3 linked regions of the Schizosaccharomyces pombe genome follow. The protein of the gene in region 2 binds, or shares a complex with, the protein of the main gene of each other region. Each region holds a gene or a part of one and is shown on either strand. Other genes may lie near its edges.

Evidence for each region. Proteins that work in one complex are often made in the same cells at the same time.
Region 1: lsd1 (region 2) and phf1 share a complex: the UniProt entries of both Schizosaccharomyces pombe proteins name them as parts of the SWM histone demethylase complex.
Region 3: lsd1 (region 2) and phf2 share a complex: the UniProt entries of both Schizosaccharomyces pombe proteins name them as parts of the SWM histone demethylase complex.

Annotation. Positions count from the first base shown.
Region 1 is NC_003421.2:456,064-462,414, reverse strand, and holds phf1 (PHD finger domain-containing protein Phf1), read right to left. Parts: upstream 2,548-6,351; 5' UTR 2,299-2,547; coding exon 913-2,298; 3' UTR 501-912; downstream 1-500. Other genes in the region: mrpl4 (mitochondrial 54S ribosomal protein uL29m), read right to left, coding at 30-464; serine/threonine protein kinase S6K family Psk1, read left to right, coding at 3,005-4,315; GTPase-activating protein Gyp3, read right to left, coding at 5,205-6,351. UniProt on the Schizosaccharomyces pombe protein: Component of the SWM histone demethylase complex that specifically demethylates H3K9me2, a specific tag for epigenetic transcriptional activation, thereby acting as a corepressor.
Region 2 is NC_003423.3:1,012,051-1,021,409, forward strand, and holds lsd1 (histone demethylase SWIRM1), read right to left. Parts: upstream 7,192-9,359; 5' UTR 6,953-7,191; coding exon 3,950-6,952; 3' UTR 3,886-3,949; downstream 1-3,885. Other genes in the region: fan1 (fanconi-associated nuclease 1), read right to left, coding at 1-662; prp2 (U2 small nuclear RNA auxiliary factor small subunit, U2AF-59), read left to right, coding at 1,505-3,058; tif1102 (translation initiation factor eIF1A-like), read right to left, coding at 3,282-3,366, 3,419-3,717; protein mug57, read left to right, coding at 7,703-8,272; protein mug97, read right to left, coding at 8,246-9,283. UniProt on the Schizosaccharomyces pombe protein: Catalytic component of the SWM histone demethylase complex that specifically demethylates H3K9me2, a specific tag for epigenetic transcriptional activation, thereby acting as a corepressor.
Region 3 is NC_003424.3:1,101,042-1,107,108, reverse strand, and holds phf2 (Lsd1/2 complex PHD finger domain-containing protein Phf2), read right to left. Parts: upstream 2,342-6,067; 5' UTR 2,246-2,341; coding exon 906-2,245; intron 857-905; coding exon 580-856; 3' UTR 501-579; downstream 1-500. Other genes in the region: nth1 (DNA endonuclease III), read left to right, coding at 1-336; protein Cwf19, read left to right, coding at 3,362-4,774, 4,819-5,086, 5,130-5,368; DNA recombination mediator Rad52 (previously Rad22), read left to right, coding at 5,572-6,067. UniProt on the Schizosaccharomyces pombe protein: Component of the SWM histone demethylase complex that specifically demethylates H3K9me2, a specific tag for epigenetic transcriptional activation, thereby acting as a corepressor.

The sequences.
Region 1 (6,351 bases), on a different chromosome or scaffold from region 2:
GATTTTCTGTTTTCCTAAAAGGAAGGGGTTTAAGAAGATCCCTTTTGTTTCTCGAGCTGCTTGGCAGAAGTATATGCTCTTTGGCGTTCCCATAGGACAAATTTGATAGCTGCCATGGTTTTATTGACTGCAAGTACACGCTCATTTGAGGCTTTGGGAATAGTCAACTGTAAGCGTTTCATTTCAGCCCTTTGTGTGAACAATAGGTTCTTCTCTCGGAGACAATTGTACCAAAGTCCATGTAGATCATTAAAAGACTTCCAACGAAGCTCTTCTGCAGCCCATGCTCTACCGAATTTAGCCTCTTCCGATGGTGGTGGAAGGGCTTGCTTGTCCCGAAAGAAATTCCACAAAGGGTGCGTGTCTGAAACCTTAGGAGCACTTTTTACTTTTGGAACAGGAAATACAAAGCCCTTTGGAATACGTACGGCTGCTTTCTGAGCGCTAGCCAACGTGGACCTCATCTTTGGTGGTAAGTAGAAGGTGCGCTGTAACACCCTGACATTGACCGATAATAATGGTTGTAAGTCATACTTTAAAAATAATTATTTTTTATTATACTTCATTGACTTTCTTAATTATTGCTAAATTGAGAAATTGTTCATTTCCTTATTTTATTTTATTTTAAGATTTCATGGCGAGGAAACATTCCAAACGAAAAGTTTATAATGTAAACAGAAAGTGTGTAGGGCGATTTATGTATTTTCCCTAGATTTGTTATCGAGTGAAAAGTTTGAATCCATGAAGGAAATACTAAAGTACTTTGATTTGCAGCTAATACATGGTGTAATGATACATTGCTTTCGACCGCTTATAAATTTATTTCGAGATTAACGGGACGCAACCGTTTAATTAAAAACGGGAAGTAAAGAAATTTTTTTTGTCTATACATTTAGAAAAATTTGTTCAGTTTCATAAAACAGTAGCACATAAATTTTGAGGATCATCGGTGGGGAAAGAGACAGGCACCAATTTAGGTACCTTACGGTTTCGTTGAAAAGTAGGAAGTAAAGAGGGTTGGAGGTGAGGGTATTCTTCGACTGTTGCTATTTGATAGATGCTACCGGAACGGACCAGTTGACCTTTATTTACCATCCAACGAATGGCCTCGGAAGCGCTGTCGTGAAAAGTTGGTAACAATGGTACGTTTTGAGCAAGCCAGTTAAATATTTCATCTTTGGAAGGTGAGAGGGTGTTACGAATAGCTAACCGTATTAACGTTGGATAGTCGTATAAGGTTCCAGAATTCGCAACATAACTTGCGGTATAGGGGACAGGTGCAGGCTCATCAGAGGGAGCTTCATCTTGTTTAGCATGAAGTCGCTCTTGTAAAGATATTTGTTGGCGTTCAGAACTAACAAGTAGTTGATGCCGAATCTCACCCAACAACTCCCGAGTACGTGGGTTGTATATGGGAAGAGATGGATAAGACTTTTCACAAAAAAGAATAAGATCTGCGAGATGAGGAGTAGGTAAACTTGATAGATACATTTTTTTGTCTGATTCACTTAACCCAAGATCTTGTGCCGTCATTCCCGTTTCTAAAGGTTGCTTGGCACGCCTGTACTGGCATTTCATACAAAACCATTCAGCATCCACATCCTGAACGGTTGCATCGTCAATCGGAGGGTGATGGCAAAGCTGATGATATGGAGAATTGCATCCATCACAAAATACGATTCGATTAGATAAAGGAGAATGTCCTCGTTGACAGACGCTACACAAGGTGACCATATCGACCTTGCGACTTTTCCGTTTCAATGCGGTGGCATTAGGATTGTATGCGACTGGCCGCTGAATCTTTCTACCCGATTTTGTTTTCATTCCTTCCACGTGAAAGTCTTCCTGTAAATCATCCTCGGCACCTTCTGCAACATCGAGATCGTAAAATGGTATACGATTATCGTCTTCCCGACGAGACGATCGAATGCGTCCATTCTTAGTCTTGGTTGATGCAGACTTGGGCAAGCGATTGAATGATACAGACAAAGAAGGATCTTGCTCCGGTGGTACTGAAGTAGCGCCTGAAGAGGAAGATGCAGGCATAGTCATACCGCCATACGGTGTCTGTACATGCTGCTGCAGTTGATGGAAATCAGCGCCAAATGGTCCAACATCGGAAATTCCAGAACCCGATGCGACAGGGGAAGCATCAAAATTCGAGCTGTCCGTTTCTCTAACTACACCTTGAGCCGATACCTGAGGAAGGGATGAATCAGCACCATTTTCAAAATGGAAACCGGCATAGTCATTTACACCATAGCTCTTTCCTTCGTCGAAAAAATTCTTTTGAGACATTGTAAAAAACGAGGACTAATAAATATGAGTAATTTGGAAAATTTTGATTTAAAACGAAATGCACAATTAGATGAAACTAGCAAACATGAAACGCAAATTAAAATGATGATACACGCAATTGTCACGCAGTGAATGTTAATTCAAAATATCTGAGACCATAGAATAACTTTATGTAAAAAGTAAATCTTCCTAAATCTCAATTCATTGATGTAAATTCGCCATTCAACGAAAGATGAGTTTAACACGCGCGTCTCAAGAAGAAGGTATGCATAGGCCATATAAAACTGGCATCGTTTTACAGAGCCAGCCTTACATTACGGTAACAACATAAGCAACAAGACATTTTCATTCGTTAAAATGCACAAAGCACATCGTATAAGACACGTTAATCATCACTAATCTAGCTTCTCGGCATAAAAAAATTTTAAAGTAAAACGCACAATAGCCTATGTAAGCGGTCCAATAAGTAGTAAGTTGATAACTTTAATTAGTAAAGAGGGCGAATCAAAAGCTTTATATATATCTAAACTTTACTAAATTGGCCAATCAGCAATGCGTTTTGAATCAACAAAATGAGGTATGACAAAGAGAATTTCTTGCTCTACATCCCGGCAGTCTTTTGTTCGTCTACCAAACAACAAGGAAAAGGCATTTTGGGCATACATATGCCAAACTTGTGATCCTTCACAGTACAAATTGCTCAAAGATGCCTGTCTTTATGTTTGATGAGCACGACAATTTGAATGAGAATTACAATTCCCATTTGTCTAGTGACGATGAGATTGCAGAGGAGGGATATGATTTTGAAGAATTGGAGGCATCTGCGTCGACAATCACTTCGTCAAGTGATTTGAAGGATGGAAAGAATGCCAAAGATGAAAAGGGGACGGTAGAGTTTAAGGTTGCTGCCCATGGTGATTTTATTTCTTCCAAGGGTGACAACTATGTACCAAGCGGAAAGATGCGTCCAGCAGACTTTCAACCCTTAACGGTATTGGGTCGTGGCTCTTACGGAAAGGTGCTCCTAGTGAAGCAAAAAAATACTGGACGACTGTTTGCTCAGAAACAGCTAAAGAAAGCTAGCATTGTTCTTCGTGCCAAGGGCCTCGAACAAACCAAAAATGAGCGACAGATATTAGAAGAGGTTCGACATCCGTTCATTTGTCGCCTTTATTATGCTTTTCAAGACCACGATCGTCTTTATCTGATATTGCAATATGCACCTGGAGGAGAGTTATTTTCTCATTTGGCCGAGCAAAGGATGCTTCCTGAGGATGTGGTTGCTTTTTATACTGCTGAATTGACTCTAGCATTGATACATTTACATAAACTTGGTATTGTGTATCGGGACTTAAAGCCAGAGAATTGTCTTTTGGATGCTGAAGGCCATATCCTTCTTACAGACTTTGGATTGTCAAAGGTGGCTGAAAATGGAGCTGATTGTCGTTCTTTTGTAGGCACTGAGGAATATTGTGCTCCAGAAATTTTGTTGGAGCAGCCATATGATCATGCCGTCGATTGGTGGTCTATGGGTATCCTCATATTCGATCTTCTTACAGGATCTCCCCCCTTCACCGCCAACAATCATAAGAGAATTATGGAAAAAATCACTCGTGCAAAGCCTAACATACCTTTTTATGTGACTTCTGATGCTAGAGACATTATCAACAAATTTCTCAAGAAAAATCCAAAGCAACGCCTCGGCGCAGATGGTCCCGAGAAAGGTTACGATGCAATAAAAAAGCACAGAATTTATCGCCGAATTGATTGGAATAAGTTAGAGAAGCGCATGCTGCCTCCCCCAATTGTTCCTTGCATCACCAATCCTGAGGCTGCGGAGAATTTTTCAGTCGAGTTTACCAAATTGCCTCTTTCTACAACACCCATTCTTCATGAAGAATTTGGGAATTTAACAATTGGTAGCCATTCCTCTGCTTTTCAAGGCTTTACCTATGTTGCGTCTCCCAATTTTCTCAACTGTGAATTTTTATCTAACAACGCAGTTTCGAACCATTAAATAGGTTTCGCTAAAGCATCATTTACTAAGTGCTTTTTTATTTTATGTGTGAAAAGGATATTTTATTTTAAACAAACTGATTATTCTCACTATATCATAACTCCTTTCATCCTTTAGGGACTCATAATACTTGAAGAAACTCCATTAATTAATCGTTTTCTATCGAACATCGATCCTTAAGATTCTAAGATTTTAATTATAATTACTGTTAATTCTTTCATTAGTTGCTTCTTTACTTAATCCCTTTTCACTAACCATATTATTATTACACAATAGAAAACTTTAATTTTATATATATTTATATACATACTTTACAAAACATCGGTCAGCTTAGTGTTTTCTTTAATATATCAATTGTTCATACTTTATATTAACATTAAAAACAATTTCCTGTTGAAACGAATTAGCAACAAATGATTTATAAAAATACAGACTGAGGGCTAACTACAAAAAATGATAAAACAGTGATCTTATAATGCTATGTTAATAATATCAAGCATGCCGACATTAGTGACTCGATTCCCAGTGTCAACGGGAGATAAAATCGATTGTTATGCAAACAAGAAAGAGGCAATTATACAAAAGAGACATATAAATAGATCGATTTGCAAAAATAATGGCATATGCCCGAATAAAACGAGTGTATAGTGGAGTCAATGACTACCTAAAATAATAATCTGCTGAACAAATAAGTGATGGAACGACGTTCATACAAACATTTCAAAATTAATAGAATAAGGGCTGTTCAATGTAGCAATGTAAAAAAATAATAAAAATCTGAACCAATCAACCAAATTCTTAACGAACAAGGGCATTCATAAAATTAGTAACGAGAGTAAAGGTTTGACAGGTTTGACAATGGGCAAACTCAATTGGTAAACAGACATAACTAAGTAGACTTCTTCAAGTGATTATGAAGCTGAGATATTATATGCGACTTGCTGAATCGTGATGATGAACGACTAAGGTGATGTTTCGAAGAATCACTCATTTCAAGCTTTGAAGCAGAAGAGTTACGCTTTTTTGCAACCTTTTCTCTTCGACGCTCTATATCCTTTTGGGAGGGAGTGCGCCTAAAATTCCTTCGGAAACACAAGGAGAGAAATGCATTAGCGTCAAGTAACGATTTGGGTAAATCTTGAATCACCTGAAATACCTCTGTCTGCTCACTTTTCGACTTTATATCATCTTCACCAAGTCTTAAAATACACAATGCCGTCATAAACAAAACTTTGCTGCCTTCATAGAAAAAACAATCCCATACACGAAGAGCAGTCTCCGTAGGTAAAATGCCAACAAAGGCACTCATAAACCAGGCAGCAGTTACGAGAGTAATGGGAGGAAGCTTTGCCACAATATCATTGACGGGTATACCATCAAAATTAAGACTGATGCGGCTCCAAACCGCTGGTAAGCTTTCTCGAACGGATGCCATCAAAACACTTTGGTCGATGTTAGCACCTTCTAAATTGGCATCATGCATCTTTGGTAAATATTTACGACACGTAATTACGAGCATCCAAAACGCCTTTTCTTCACTCATAAAAAGCAGGAAGAAACCAGCAAGAAAATTCAAGCTTTGACAGTAACCATTTTCAGGTAAGTATGTTGCAAAAGTCATTAGAACACGACGCAGTTTTGAAATCATTGGAACATCAGGCTCCTCTGATGAATGCTCTGATGCGTCGGATGAGTTCCTAGAATGCTTGGATTTATGTCGAAAATGTACATTGTCTGGAAAGGTACGATATAGATCACGTTCAATAAGGTCAGAATCTGAGGGCTTTTTTATGCACGCACAACGCCATAGAGTCTCGTACAGTTTAGGGTTTCTCTGAAGTAATTCGTAACCACCGCTGTAATAAAACCAGGCATTGCCACGATACTCGGGTGGTATTCCTTTGCGAATAAATCGTTGAGTTTTAGCACTGCGGCTAGGAAAAATACTAGGAGATTGGTGTATATAGTCTATACCGTTTTCTTGAAGGAAAAGCTTCCATCGCTGTTCGCGACGCTCCAGGTAGCGGCTGTAAGGG
Region 2 (9,359 bases):
CATTGATATAATAGTTGCTTCCGAAGAAACGACTCTTGCTTATGCATCACACCAAAAGCATCAAAGGACAAAAATTGTTGACCATTACAATGTAGTACTGATTGTCTTTTAGATAGGAAAATGATTTCTTTTGAAATTTCAGACCTGCTTTTTCCACACACCTTCGTTTGTCTAGCTAACGAACGCAATTCATCGAGAGATAGAATTTCAATTATTTCTTCAGTTGACATGAGTGATTCATCTTCAAAAAAATTTTTCAGAACAAGCTGCTTACAGCAGGCAATAACATCCTTGCAATCTGGATAAGTCAAATGGCCCACGCGGAACCATTTATTTCTTTTACGCATGAATAGACGAACAAACAAGTACCGTTCATCCGAGTCTAAAGCTTTAAAGTTTTCAATAACCCTCAACTCATCATCAGTAAAGATATGCGGTTCACAATCGAGGACGGTGTTTAGGATTTCTTCGAACCCCAGCAGATACATTGAATTTTTAGTAGAATATACATTGTGCTTATTAGTATTGGCAACTTGTCCTTTAACTGTTGTCTCTGGTGCTTGACATACAACTTTTAAGGGAGGGAAACATAACTTGTTCTCGTTTACCCCAGATTTATCTGGAGTGTTTATGTCGCACGCTTCATTAAAGAATCGTTTCATGAATTTTTAGATATCACAGCAGCGCGACTGAATAAGTGCACAAGATGATGGCCGTAAGTAAACAAATATTTAAAAAAAAGAGCGGCTTTTACAACAATGGAAAGCTAGTATGAAAATAAATAATAATAAATTTTGAATGAATGTAAACGTCTTCTTGTGTAATAAAGTAAATTTTTAAAAGATTGAACATACAATTTAAGAGCATGGATTTCAAGGATAAAATGAGACAAACATTAAATCTATCGTGGATGTACTGGCAAAAAAAAAACGAAAATTATTGAATTTCATGGCAGCTGTAAATTTTTAAAGATTGCTTTAAAAGAAAGCCATACAATCAAATACTATGGTCAAAAGAGAAAAATTCGTTAAAACTTAGGAGAATGGTACTAGGGTAAGGACAACAGTTTAAATAAATGCTTTTGAAAATTTAACTGCATTCGTAAGTTACAGTGTTGTCTATAATGCAAGTTTAGCGAAAGTTGCTATTTGAAACTAAAAAGAAAATGTAAGTCAACAACGTTGTGCTTAAAATTACGACGCTGGCGAAGTTACTACAAACTCTCACTACCTTAACTTAGTAAGTCGAAACTTTTGACTAACCTTGGGCGTATCACATAAAGAAAAAATAAGTTAATTATTATTGTTCATGTTATAAATTTTTTTTAGCAAGGAATCCAAGAGCATTGACGCGCATATCATTTCATTAGAATTTGTACTTTTGTATTCCCTACTTTCATCAAAGTTTTTTCCGGAGAATTTAAGAGTTCATTTTAATAAACGAATTTCTTCCCTCCCTTCTTTTTTGAATAATTTTTTAAATAGCCTCATATTCATTCACTAACATGGATTTGTCTTCCAGATTATCATCAGGTTCTTCACGGATACCCAAGCGACACAGAGATTATCGCGATGAAGAACCTAGACGAGAAAGAGGTTCGGGTGGGATAGGAAGGGAAGACCCGAGAGGCCATTATGGCTCTGAACGACCTAGAAGACGTCGCCGAGACGAAAGTGATTTTCGTAGACATAGAGAATCTCGTGAAAGAAGTTATCGAGAGGATGAGAGGCCAAGAAGAGAAAGAAGATATGATGATTATGAGCCTCGATCATTACGTTATTCATCTGTCGGAAGAAGTAGAAGTCCACCTCCCAGCCGAGAAAGAAGCGTAAGGTCTATCGAACAGGAACTCGAACAATTGAGAGATGTAACACCAATAAATCAGTGGAAAAGGAAGCGCTCTTTATGGGACATTAAACCACCTGGTTATGAATTGGTTACTGCTGACCAGGCGAAAATGTCTGGTGTTTTTCCTTTGCCAGGCGCTCCTAGAGCTGCAGTTACTGATCCAGAGAAATTGCTAGAATTTGCTCGCTCTGCGGAAGGAAGTATTATTGCTCCCCCTCCGCCCTTACAACCAGGTGCTAGCAGACAGGCTCGTCGACTAGTGGTTACTGGAATTCCTAACGAATTCGTTGAAGATGCTTTTGTATCATTTATCGAAGATCTATTTATTTCAACTACATACCATAAACCCGAGACAAAGCATTTCTCCTCTGTCAACGTCTGTAAAGAAGAAAACTTTGCTATTCTTGAGGTCGCTACTCCTGAAGATGCCACCTTCCTCTGGGGGCTTCAGTCCGAATCATATTCTAATGATGTCTTTTTAAAATTTCAAAGAATTCAAAATTACATCGTCCCTCAAATTACCCCCGAAGTTTCTCAAAAAAGAAGTGATGATTATGCCAAGAACGACGTTTTAGATTCAAAAGACAAAATTTACATTTCAAATTTACCTTTAAATTTAGGCGAAGATCAAGTGGTGGAGCTACTTAAGCCTTTCGGTGATTTATTAAGCTTTCAATTGATAAAAAATATTGCAGATGGATCTTCGAAGGGTTTTTGTTTTTGCGAATTTAAAAATCCTTCTGATGCGGAAGTAGCTATCAGCGGTCTTGATGGTAAAGATACGTATGGGAACAAGTTACACGCACAATTTGCTTGTGTAGGTCTCAATCAAGCTATGATAGATAAGTCTAATGGAATGGCCATTTTGACAGAACTTGCTAAGGCGTCATCACAATCTATTCCAACTAGAGTCTTACAATTACATAATTTAATTACTGGGGACGAAATTATGGATGTACAAGAATATGAAGACATATATGAGTCTGTAAAGACCCAATTTTCGAATTATGGACCACTTATAGATATAAAAATTCCTCGTAGTATTGGCACTAGAAACTCGGGATTAGGAACTGGAAAGGTTTTTGTACGATACTCCGATATCAGATCTGCAGAGGTCGCAATGGAAGAGATGAAAGGTTGTAAATTTAATGATCGCACGATTGTCATTGCTTTTTATGGTGAGGATTGCTATAAAGCTAATGCATGGTGATTTCAGTTTCAATGAAAAGGTTAGTATAATATCTTAATGTTAGGGTAATAATATCAGTATTTCTCATTGGATTGTTTAAAGTGTAACAAAGTACTCAATTGTAATGAGCGATTGTGGGATGAAGTAATTCTTGCAAGCATTTCCCGTTATACGCTTTTTATCATCGGTTTAATTTACAAGGTTCGTTGTAAGGATTCTTAATATATGTATTTTTTGTAAATTGTTAGTCACTATCGTATTCTTCCTCGCTACTGCTGCTTTCCTCAGAATCGTTTTGATTTAACGATTCATCTGCAAACTCTTTAGGCCTTTAAACTAGTTAGCACAATCATCTAATGTTATTTCAAGAGAATTTCTTACCAATAAATTTGTTTTTTCCAATTTTTTAAAGGGCTTTGTACCACGTACAATATAGTACCGTCAATTTTATTGTCCTTCTCTAAAAACTCAGATTTATCAACTATTACAAACCCATTTCTCCTAACCCATATTTTATTACGATACTTTGGAGGCATCTCAACAAGTAATTCCTGTCCATTGTTTTCTACTACCATAAAAAGCGCAGATCCTTTAAGTTGCACAACTTTGGCGACGACTTGATCTTTTTCCAACCTAGCTGGTGGATCAAACGAAATTTGACCGCCATATTTTTTTGACATATTAGTATTTCTCTAAAGAGCTCGTATATATGTGATAACCAAGCAAATCGTAGAGAATTGGGTTTATGGTGGTTAGGAAGCTTCGACAAGTGGATTTACAAGATGATATGCATTTCATAAATGTCATTCCTTTCTATGAAAAAATAAAATTTAGTATACCATTATAACTTAAACGTAAAAATTGATCTTTATCTCATATAAACTACCCTTAAAAAAAAACTTTAAATGAAGCTCATGAGAAATTGTCAGGGAATACTTCACTTATTGAATCCTCATAATCTAAATCATCATGATAATCATCATCACTATTTTCAACGGACATGCCCTCTTTTTCAGGATGTAGATGTTCGTCCTCTTGTTCAGCAAGTAATTTTAACTTAGCCTCATCTTCAGGAATTGGTTGAGATTCACATCTTCGCTGATGTTCGGATTTAATTTGGGCAACTCTCACATTGTAGGAATTAATTTGACGTTGATACTCTTCCAGGCGAGTTGAATAATTTGCTCGTCTCGCGTTAATTTCATCAACCCATGGTTGTTTACCTAAACTATCCAAGGCTCGCCATGTCTTTCCCAATTTTGCACGTATCTCATTTTTTGTGGCACGTGCTTCAGGATCGCCAGTAACTCTTTGTTTATCCTGATCTGCTAGAGTTTTACAAACGTGCCATTGAGTTTTTTGGTACAAAAGGTAAGGATTAGCACTAGGCCTTGATGGTGGAACAGGAGACGGTCCCAATAATTCGGCAATTAGTAAATCACATTCTTGCTGTTCTTTATCAAGTCTTTTTTGTCTCAAGCGTAAATACTCGGTATGGTATGAAATGCGCTTTTCCTTATTTTCTCTTTCTCCCTCTTTGCCTAAAGCTTGTTGAGCATTTCGCTTCGTGCCGTACGTTTTACGGGGTTGTTCCAAGTTTTCCTCAATAACGAGAGTGTTAGGTAAAACAACATTGCCTATTAACGAAGCCAAAACATCTCTAGCAGCCAGTATGCCCGAATCAAATGCGCCGCGTATCGAACCTGAATTTTTTTGGGAAATTGCTTCACTAGCAAAAAACACAGTATTGTCAATGGGCTCAGACAATATTGCATAATCCTCTTCCAAAAACAAATTGGATATTTGATATGATGAGTGATTTGTATAAGAATTATTCTCCCAGTTACTGATAATCGTTCGAATAGGATTTATGGCTTCTGATTTCGGTTTATAAACTTTTTTAAGTTGAGATACAATCCCATTCACTATATCATCATCCTTCATAAAGTCGATCCCTTCAACCTTCACAAAGACTGATAATGTGGGATGTTCGTAAAATCGAGTGCAATCGTTAAATATAAAGTTTCTACCTGAATCTTGTGGTAGTGAACCAAATATACTTATGTTTGGTTCCCAGAATTGGGTTTTAAAAATGAGGATAACCTTTTTCACATTGGTAAAATGACATCTATCAATAGCCTTTAGCTTCTTTTCTTCGAGAGGCGGCTCGAAGGTAATCAAATGGGTATTCAGCTTGTCCATAGGTATACATATAACCACTTTATCGACTGAAACTGTTGTTTCATTTACAAATGATAAGTTAACCGTATTATCTTCTAGCTTTACAGTATGGACACACTGGTCAAAAAGAATTGGAAGTGGAGAAGGTGTTGAAGCAAGGGAGTTTAGCATATCCGCCATTCCATGTTTGAAGGAATATGAAGCGACATTTTCACCTAATAATAAATTCAGGTTTGGAATGCTTCCCGGATAAACATTTTCAAGAGAAACAGAGAGTGATTGTGAAAGGTATTCCTTAAACCATTCAAAAATTTTTAAATCTAAAACAGTAAGATGCAATAAAGAAGTGAGGGTGTTAGCCGAATTACCAAGAAATTCAGACAAAGTGTCCTTTATTTGTAAAGGAAAGGCTTCAATTGAAATATACCAACCAATTTGGTCAAGCTTTTGAATGAATTCTTGCTCAGGAGGAGTAATCAACGAATGAAGGGGCTGTTTACTAGCTGAAGCATTGAAATAAAAAAGTAAAGCATCAAATAAACGAAAAATACGTTGAACATGTTCGGTATCAATTCTTCCATTTTCGATATCATGTAAGATAAACTCTCTATTTCTAGTATGTACTGCATCTAACGAAAGCTGTTGTGAGGAAATTATGTATAAGGGGTCACTGTCGAGCGTGGGCATTCCGATTAAAGAATCGGTCAATAAGTTAACCATACATTCATTTGTGGCATTCACAGTTGTAGCTAGAGAACTTTTTTCACTAACTTCATTATCACTCAATGGAACCATATGGGTATAGATATGGCCACCCAAACGTTCACTAGCTTCGTATATAACTATGCGAGGAGGTTTTTCTCCCCGGCTTAAGAAATCTTGCTCATATTGAGCAAATAGGTTGGTTAGCTGGCGAGCACAAGATATTCCTGCCATGCCTGCGCCTATAATAGCAACAGTTTTTTGGGAAAGAGATTCATCTAATTTTAGGGAGGATATAATATATATACACCCATAGTTTATGTGACCGTTACGAGACAAAAACTCAAATGCCAGAGAAGCCAGTGGAAATGCTTTTTTTTCACGAACAATACCAAGAGCTTCATTAAATGATACATAAAGAGTCGGGTTTCTATGCCAAAGGTAACAAATGCCATTTCGTATACTTAAATAAAGAGAAAGCCATGTCGGATTCTCAAGGATTTCAGAAAGCATCTCAGCTTCTAGAGGCGAGAGAGCATTTGGTGGAAGATTACTAGCTATAGCAGATTCATAGCAAAGTCTCTCGAAAGTGACACGCGGTATGGCAGGGATGCTGGATTTAACAGATATAGGAGCCTCCGCGGAAACATAGCGCGTACCATTTCTTTCAAGAGAATTAGAAGTATTTAGAGCTGGTCGACCTCTACGACCAGCAGGTCTACGCCCTTTTATAGGTAATTTTTGCAAAGATAGCACCTCCTGGGATTTTTCTAAAGCTGATGGCTTTACTTGGGATAAACCGTTGATATTCGTTGGAATAGAGGCTTTAGAAACAGTCTCAGACACGGGTCTCTCACTCAATTGACTCAAATCAAATATTTCCTGCTCAACGGAGACACTTTCGTTACCTCCTTCATGTACATTGTCAGAAGATTGGTGACCAAATATGGCCCACAACGAAGGGTCAGATGATTGTGCGTGCGTATCTTTTAAAACGTCCGAAAGAGCATCTTTCGAAGACAAATCCATCATTTCAACATAATCATTAGACAGAAGCTTTCGTCCATGAGTTGCAAATCGGATTGCCAAAGTTAAAGTGTGTGCTAGGTAAGACGCTGTTAGGCGTACACTCTCCACTTATAAGGAGACTACTTTTTGGGGTACTCACGTAAATTAGATTACTTTGTTTCAATAGCAAAATAGCTTAAGAAAATAACATTAATAAATATTACAAGTGATGGGTTGTGTTATGCGATGTGATATAGTATTATGGTTGAATCATATTTTTTGAACACAATGTTTATGGAACTAATGGTGACAGAAAATAATGAAGATTACCATCTAACCAAACGTCTACAAGTATCTTCTATACATAATAAACTACAATCAAATTGCATAAAGCAGTTGGGTTTAAGAGTGTGTCTAATTACATACATGGTGTAAAAAACAATAGTTTATAATTAGGTAAATATCTATCACTTTTAAGAAAAACTAAGAAAACAAAAAAGTATTAAATTTTAAAAACTTCTTAATCGTGTTTAAAAAAAAAAAAAAAAAAAAAATTGTTATGTCGTAACAACAACCAAAGATCTACCGTTCATCAAATCGTTGTTTTTGTTAAAACAGGCGTTTTTTTCCTCTATTACCAAGTCGCTTACGTTTACAAAATTGGATTATTTAACTTTTGAAAAAAATTAAGTAGTTCTAATTGATGCCAATTGATTTTTTCTTTTTAAGATTACCATTTGTTAAAGCAGTGTGTCTTTAATAACACCCTCCAAAATGATGAAGCTGTTTTGTCTAAACATCTTTCGTTTCCTTTATACTACGAGTTTTATTAGTGCAGTACTCTCTTTTAACCAAAGACCTATCAATATGCAAGAAGTTCGTGAACCAAGGCTCTTTGAATTGCTTGCCGAAACAAGAGATTGCAACATTTTTTCTGAGCTTATAATGCAGTTTCCTGATTATGTTCATCTCTTCCAACAAAAAGATCAGCATATCACTGTCTTGGTCCCTAATGATGCTGCATTTCAACAGTGTAAAGTCAAACCTTGGGCAATTGAATACAAAAATGGAGTTGCCGTTAAATCCACTGACATAGTTCATATTACTGAGCAACAAGCCCAGGACAATATTCTTAAATTTGTCGAGCGCCACATAATTACTTCTTCACCTATTGAATGGAATAATGAATATAAGACAATCGATGGTACAGATGTACATGTTATTAAAAAGGAAGAGGAGATCTATATAAATGAGTCTATTCATGTTCTCTGCCGTAAAAAAGCAAGCAATGGGGAAATGTGGGTACTAAATGCCACTTTATCTACACCAAGTATTCGAGAGTAGATAAAGGAAGCTACCTATACTTCCGATTCCCAAATTGAGTAACATTCCATGTGCGAATGATGGGTCAGAGAGTCTCATCCATAGACCAATAAGTACGGATCCGCCAGCGCTAAATAATAGAAGAGATAAAACCCACATATTTATTTTATATATCGGTATAATTAATAACTCTTCACTTCCACTTGCTTCTATCTGCTCATATCGTTCTGCGACTGTACGACATCCAGGATGTGTATCAATCTTGCGTTCAACTATTTCTCTACGCATCACCTTTTCTGCCCAAGGATTCCACCAATGCTTTCGGCGCAAAACGTATTCGCATTCAGGTCCAAATGAAATTCCTTGTAAAACGTAGAAAATAGATGGTCGATTTTCACTGCTAAAGTATTTTGCATACGCCTCCACTAACTGATTATCGTCGTCTTTATCGAAAGGCAAGTACCATCTCGAATAATGCTTATGGTATAAACAAACTCTAACTTGATTCTCATTTTTACCCGACTCATGTTTCAATAAAGCTGAAGGTCCTGGCAAACCTATTGTAGTATTTCTGGGAAGCGAACCAGCTGACCCAGCAATAGCTGTTGTCGCGGTAAAAGGTTTTGTAGGGGTTTCAGAAATTGAGTGACGGGTGGTCATTGGAACTTGGATTTCCCATGAATTACCCATTTGAGGGCTATATTCTGGTAAACTCATCTGTTTATGAATTCCAGAAGCTCCATTCATTGCTTCATGATAAATCGAAGCGGCACGATCTTGATGACTTTTCACATTTCTCTCGGTTTCACCTCTGAAGTAAGGTTCGCTCACTTTTTGCCTTTTCGGCACATGTGTGTCTTCCTTATTTGACAAGTTTCTTGTCAACGGCTTGTGTAATTGTGTCTTGGTAAAGCCAAATTGATTGATCTGCAAGGGTTGCAAATCGAATTCACCCTTCTTGAAATCAACTTTACATTCCATATTTTGATTAGTGTCAGTCATCATGCATGAACCGCTGTTCAAAATTGACATTCTAGCTAAACGATGTTTCGATCTTGCAACCCTGTACAGCTAGGTTGTACTTCCAAAAAATTTGTAAAAGAAAAGC
Region 3 (6,067 bases), on a different chromosome or scaffold from region 2:
GTCAAAACGATTAAAAGAGTCAAAAAAAGACCTGCTTCTGAGTCACCTCCTCTATCTCCACTCTCCCTTCCTACAGATGATTTGTATTACCAAAGCATCGAAGATAAATCACTTATAAAACTTGAGGACTTGGACCCTGTTGATAGTATATCACACATGAATGAACCTTTGAAAAAAGAACCAGCCGCTGATATTGATGTAGATCAGAAGCCACCTGTCGCATTCCATTCAACTACAAAAGAAACTAGGTCACTGCGCAGGTCAAAGCGAGTTGCAAAAAAATCATCCCAGTATTTCTCCCAACAAAGTTTACAAGATATTGAAGATCTGGTTTAATTTATTTTTAGGACCGTAAATTTTGGACAACATAAATCTGTTATTTATTTACATGAATTACTCAAAATTATTTATTCTTTACAACTCCGTCTTTAAACATATTCAAGAACCTTTTGCTACTGACTGTATAGTTATAATATCCTCTACCTTTACTTTTTAATAATTTTTTTAAATCTTGGAATAAATTGAAATCATTAATGTTGTTATACCCTTCAACAAACAATGCAGAATGTAAGATACTCGTTAAATACTACTAAGAACAATTGGAGTTTCGTCGAACATATAATAAGTACAAAAGTTTTCGGTTAAATCCTCTGTGTGAGGCGTATACAGCATCCAATCGATAGGAATGGGGCCGGTTATAGATATGTCAGGGCGCACTGATGGTCGATCGGCATCAAACGTTCTGTTCAGTTCATAGCTGCTACCCCTCGCATCACGTAAAACACGGTTTTTACGGACCAGTCTGTTTAAGCTTCGAGTTATGTTCGAATTTTTAATTTTTCTATTCGAGTATTTACTAGAATATTAGTAATTGACGATGTCAGGAAAATATATAGAAAACTTACGCTTGAATAGTGTTAGTGATAGTAGAAAAAGAAACAGCAGCAGGGAAAGATTCTAAAACTTGTAAAACTATTTCATCTTCATTGCTATATTCTTGTAAGTATTCATCTATGGTAGGAATTTTTTCACTCTCCATGTATTGCTTATCCACTTCAACTGGTTCGGTCGAAGGTAAGGACGTCGAATGCTTGGTTGTTTTCGATTGTGATTCTGTTCCATTATTTAGACTTAGATACTGATCTCCCGTTACAGGTTCATTCATAGTAGCTGTAAAGGCAGACCTTTTGCTTTGGAGCTCTTGGACAATAGTGGAAGTTTTAGGACTATAGAACGGGATGTCGGGATGTAATTGCTCACAGAATAATAGGATGTCAACCAGTTGGGAGATCGGAAGACTTAAAAGATAAGACTTTTTCTCTTCCGAAGACAGATTTAGTTCTCGTGCCGTAGTTCCAGTTACGAGAGGCGCTTGCTTTTTTCTCCTAATGCAATCATCACAAAACCATTCTCCATTGGGGGAATCTAAAAGTTCATCAGAAATATAGGGTTCATGACAAAGTTGATGGAATGGAGTGTTACAACCATCACAGAAAACGATGCGATTTTTTGGTGGAGATTGAAGTCGTTGACAAACCGAACATTTCATAGCTAATGCGACCACAGGTCGACGACCTGGGCCACGTCGTCTAGTAGGTAATTTTACAAGGGGATCGAAATGATTAGGGCGATGCACTTTTCTTCCTGATTTTGTTTTGACACCTTCCAAATTAAATTGCTCTTCCCTACCATCTTCAGTAGAAAAGAGGGCGTCAGCGGTGTTGTCACGTTCAATAGCCAAACTGGCAGGCCATGATCTTTTCCGAGCAATGTTCATAGCAATTGACATAGGAGGTAATGGCGATGAACTTGCAGGAACATTTGGGGGTAACGCAGATTTTGTTTGGGAATCAGCACTTCTATGATGCGCATAATTAGATGAAGATGCGTCTTCAGTGAAAGGTGCCTGTTCGCTTTTTGCATCGGTTTCCTGATTTTTACTAGATTCTATTTCTTTAGCAACATCATCATTTTTGTACGAACCGAAAGCACCTGACTCCTTGTTTGGCTCGTGAAAGTGTTGGAACTGATTTTCCAAATGCATGTTTGAATTCACGTTAGGATTTTGTATATCCTGAAAGGCTTGATCTATTAGCACAGAGCCTCCATTTTGATTAGATTCCTCCCCCTCAAACATCGTTGGATGCAAATCATTGGGAAATCGACGACTACCGTCGAATTGAAAAGGATATGATGCCGCTTCAAAAGAACCGCCATCGTCGTCATAGTACGATGAATTCGGCATTAGGTTTTAAATCATTCATATGCTCATGTAAAAAACAAATGAAAAAATGAAGCAAATGGCAAAAAATGCGAATGTGTAAGTTCAACACGCGTGTTTGGAATTTAGGTGAGATTTAACGCAACTTATAAATCGTTTGCTGCTGTTACTCCAATTATGTTTTGCTAGCGAAATGAGATTGATCATCACTATATCTCGCTTATTCACTTCTCACTACAACTCACTGTCTAGTCATATATAAATACTGCACGTATCCATGAAGAGCTGAAATCTCACATTTATTAGAGCTTTTTTATTTTTAATTTTGTTAAATTTAATTATTCATGCATTAACTAGTCATAGCTATAAATATGAATGAAAATTTGGTCTTTCCTTTGTTTATATTTCCTAGATGGCCTAACAGCTATAATTGATTGAACTTGTATGCTATTAAAGGCGATAAACAGACTTCTTTAGTACTTTGCTAAAGAAAATATAATTGCAATGATCCAATTACACTGGAAATACAGGTATAAAAAATCGTCACAGTTTGGAAACAAACAATGCTTTTTTTTCTGTGGCTGTTGTGTAGCTTTGCTAGTATCATAAACTCATTGTACACTAGCGCAAGACACACTATACAGTAGTTAGCGCGAGGTATTTTATTATTCTTTCCAACTTATTTGTAATGAAGTTCAAATAAACAATGGGTAATTTAGTACTACTAAAGTCCTTGCGTTATTTAAAAGGTTTTTGTTTGAAGTTAGTGGTATATATTTTGGAATCCTAAAGTTATTGTATCGCCTTTCACTGTCAATGTGGAATACTGCAAAGGCCGATACTCCTTCTTTCAAACTTAATTGTTTCACTTTCTTTTCTTTCCATTTCAACGCAATATTTTACAATTTTTTTTAATTTAAAAGAGAATTCTGATCATTGTCTAAACTAAACTCCTGGCAAAACTATCATTTGCGTTGCTTGTTTAGATCTGCATAGTGCCTGAACCACTTGACTTAACGAATGTACTACTACCATCGTTAAGTTACAATAAAAACATTATTTCCTTTTTCCCACCATTTTGCCTCTAATTATTGTTAAAAATTATTTATTTCATGAATTAATATTAAAATAACGTCCATTATGGAAAAGGAAAAGCTTACAAATAGGACCAGTACTCACAAATTCAATGAAACTGACAGAGAAACAAATCACTCTAGAAGGCATCGTCACCACCACTCTAGGCATCGTGAGAGCAAGCATGGACGACATGATCGCAGTGAAAGGCCAAGCTCTAGAGAAGCAGGTGACCGAAGTAGGCATGAAAGATTTAGTAAAGAGCCATTGGAGGTAAAGAAACTTCCTGTTGAAAATGAATACTTTGACTCCAAATTCGCTTCTGCTTCTTCCATGCCATCCTCCAAAGACAATCCACAGAATAATGACTTTACTAATTCATTGCAAGGTTTGGATTTTGGTACGTTCGGTTCGCGTATACAAAGAGAACCTATTGACCGAAAGTCCAATAAGCCTGGTGAAATTTTTGTTGGTGCAACATTACAGAATGAGAGTTCGACGAGTACAGAACATAAAGATATAGAACAGCTTGAAACCGAAATTAATGAGTCAGGAATTAATTACAAAATTGGTGATAATGGCTCTCGATGGCGTATGATGAAGCTCAAACGCGTATTTGACATGGCTCAAGACCAACGACGCCCCGTTGAAGAAGTAGCTCTGGAACGTTATGGTTCATTGAAAGAATTTGATTTTGCCTTGGAAGAAAGAGATGAGTTAGAGCTTCGAAAACGAACTCGAAAAGTTCAGAAAGAAGTTCCTACTGGCGAATTATATGAAAAACGATGTGCTGATGAATTTAAGACTAGAAAAGATTCTGGTAATGGCGCTACATACTACAAAGTAATACCTGACCCTTCTGTAAATAAAGATACTCCCACTGAAAGCGATTTGAATAGATTAAAAGCTGATTTGTTACGTGCTCAACTTAAAAAGGATCCTAACTATGAGTCTTTAGAAAGGGAATATCAGAAAGCTTGTGATGACTTCGAAAACTCTTTACACCCTTCGGAAAATTCTAATTCGCAAGCAACCATACCATCAAAAAAAAGAAACTTCGACGATCCTACTATTGATGAGATGGTACAGGAAGAAAAATTGTTGAATAAACAACGGAAATACGGCCAGAATTATGAATACGCAAAGCAGATTGCAAAGGATAAAACTTATTCTAACAATCTGGATTATTTGGACGAAAATGCAGGGAAACTTTCTAATCGAATGAAGCGCGGAGACGTCAGTCTAGCTCAAATTAGTAGTGGTGGGGATCTTAAAAAAATTAATCATGTTTTGGACACTTGTCCTCTTTGCCTAAATTATGAAACACAACCTTTGGCACCAGTAATATCTTTAAGTCATCGTGCTTATGTTTCTTTACCAACTCAACCCGAATTAGCTAAATATCATTGTTTAATTGTTCCTACAGGACATCGGATAAATACCCTCAGCTGTGATGAGGATGAATGGGATGAAATCAGAGTATGTTAATATAGTAAAAGGAAATAACTAACAAACCTTTTTAGAATTTTATGAAATGCATCGCCCTAATGTTTGATTCCATGAATCTTGGTGTTATTTTTTATGAAAACGCGCCTTCACCACAAAGATATATGCACACAGCTATTGAGTGTATTCCAGTCTCTAAAAGGATCCTCTCACTTGCACCTGCTTACTTCCGTGAAGCTTTGTCTACTTCTGACGAGGAGTGGTCTCAACATCGAAAAATTATTGATACATTAGAAGGTTCGAAGAAGTATGGAAAATGGGCTTTTCGAAAAATGATGGTTAAGGGTATGTTTGGAAAATCGTAATCATTTATTTTACTAATGATTAGAATTGGGTTATTTTCATGTTTGGTTCAGTATTGATGGTGGCTACGGGCATGTCGTGGAAGACGAGAAGGCATGGGGGAGGCACGATCAAGTTCCTAGGCAGGTATTTGCCAGTATGCTAAACCTTCCTCCTGAAGTAATCAGAAGGAAAGGTTCTTGGACAGGTAAAAAAGATCCACGCGAAGATATGTTTCGCAGTCGTTTTGAAAAATTCGATTGGACCAAGGGATTAATTGATTAGTAATTACGAAAATCCTTTAATTCAAATAAAATTTTGTTTTTATTTTTGTATCTACATTCTTTAAGTAATATTCATTACTGATGATTTGTAAGATCTTTATTTTCATTAAGTGGTTACTCGCTATGCTACCTTATCTTTCTTTATTACTTGGTACCTGTCCATGTGCACACAGCTAATATACTGCTTCATATAAGCTAGAAGGGATGTCTTTTGAGCAAAAACAGCATGTAGCATCAGAAGACCAGGGCCATTTTAACACAGCGTATTCTCATGAAGAGTTTAACTTTCTTCAAAGCTCCCTAACTCGAAAGCTTGGACCTGAGTACGTTTCAAGAAGGTCAGGTCCTGGGGGTTTTTCAGTCAGTTATATTGAGTCTTGGAAAGCAATTGAGCTTGCGAACGAAATTTTTGGATTTAATGGGTGGTCTTCGTCGATACGCAGCATTAATGTTGACTTTATGGACGAAAATAAGGAAAATGGACGTATCAGTCTTGGCTTGAGCGTGATTGTTCGCGTGACAATCAAAGATGGTGCCTATCATGAAGATATTGGATACGGTTCTATTGATAATTGCCGTGGAAAGGCTTCAGCGTTTGAGAAATGCAAGAAAGAGGGCACTACAGATGCCTTAAAACGCGCTCTACGAAATTTTGGAAACAGTTTAGGAAATTGCATGTATGACAAATACTATCTTAGAG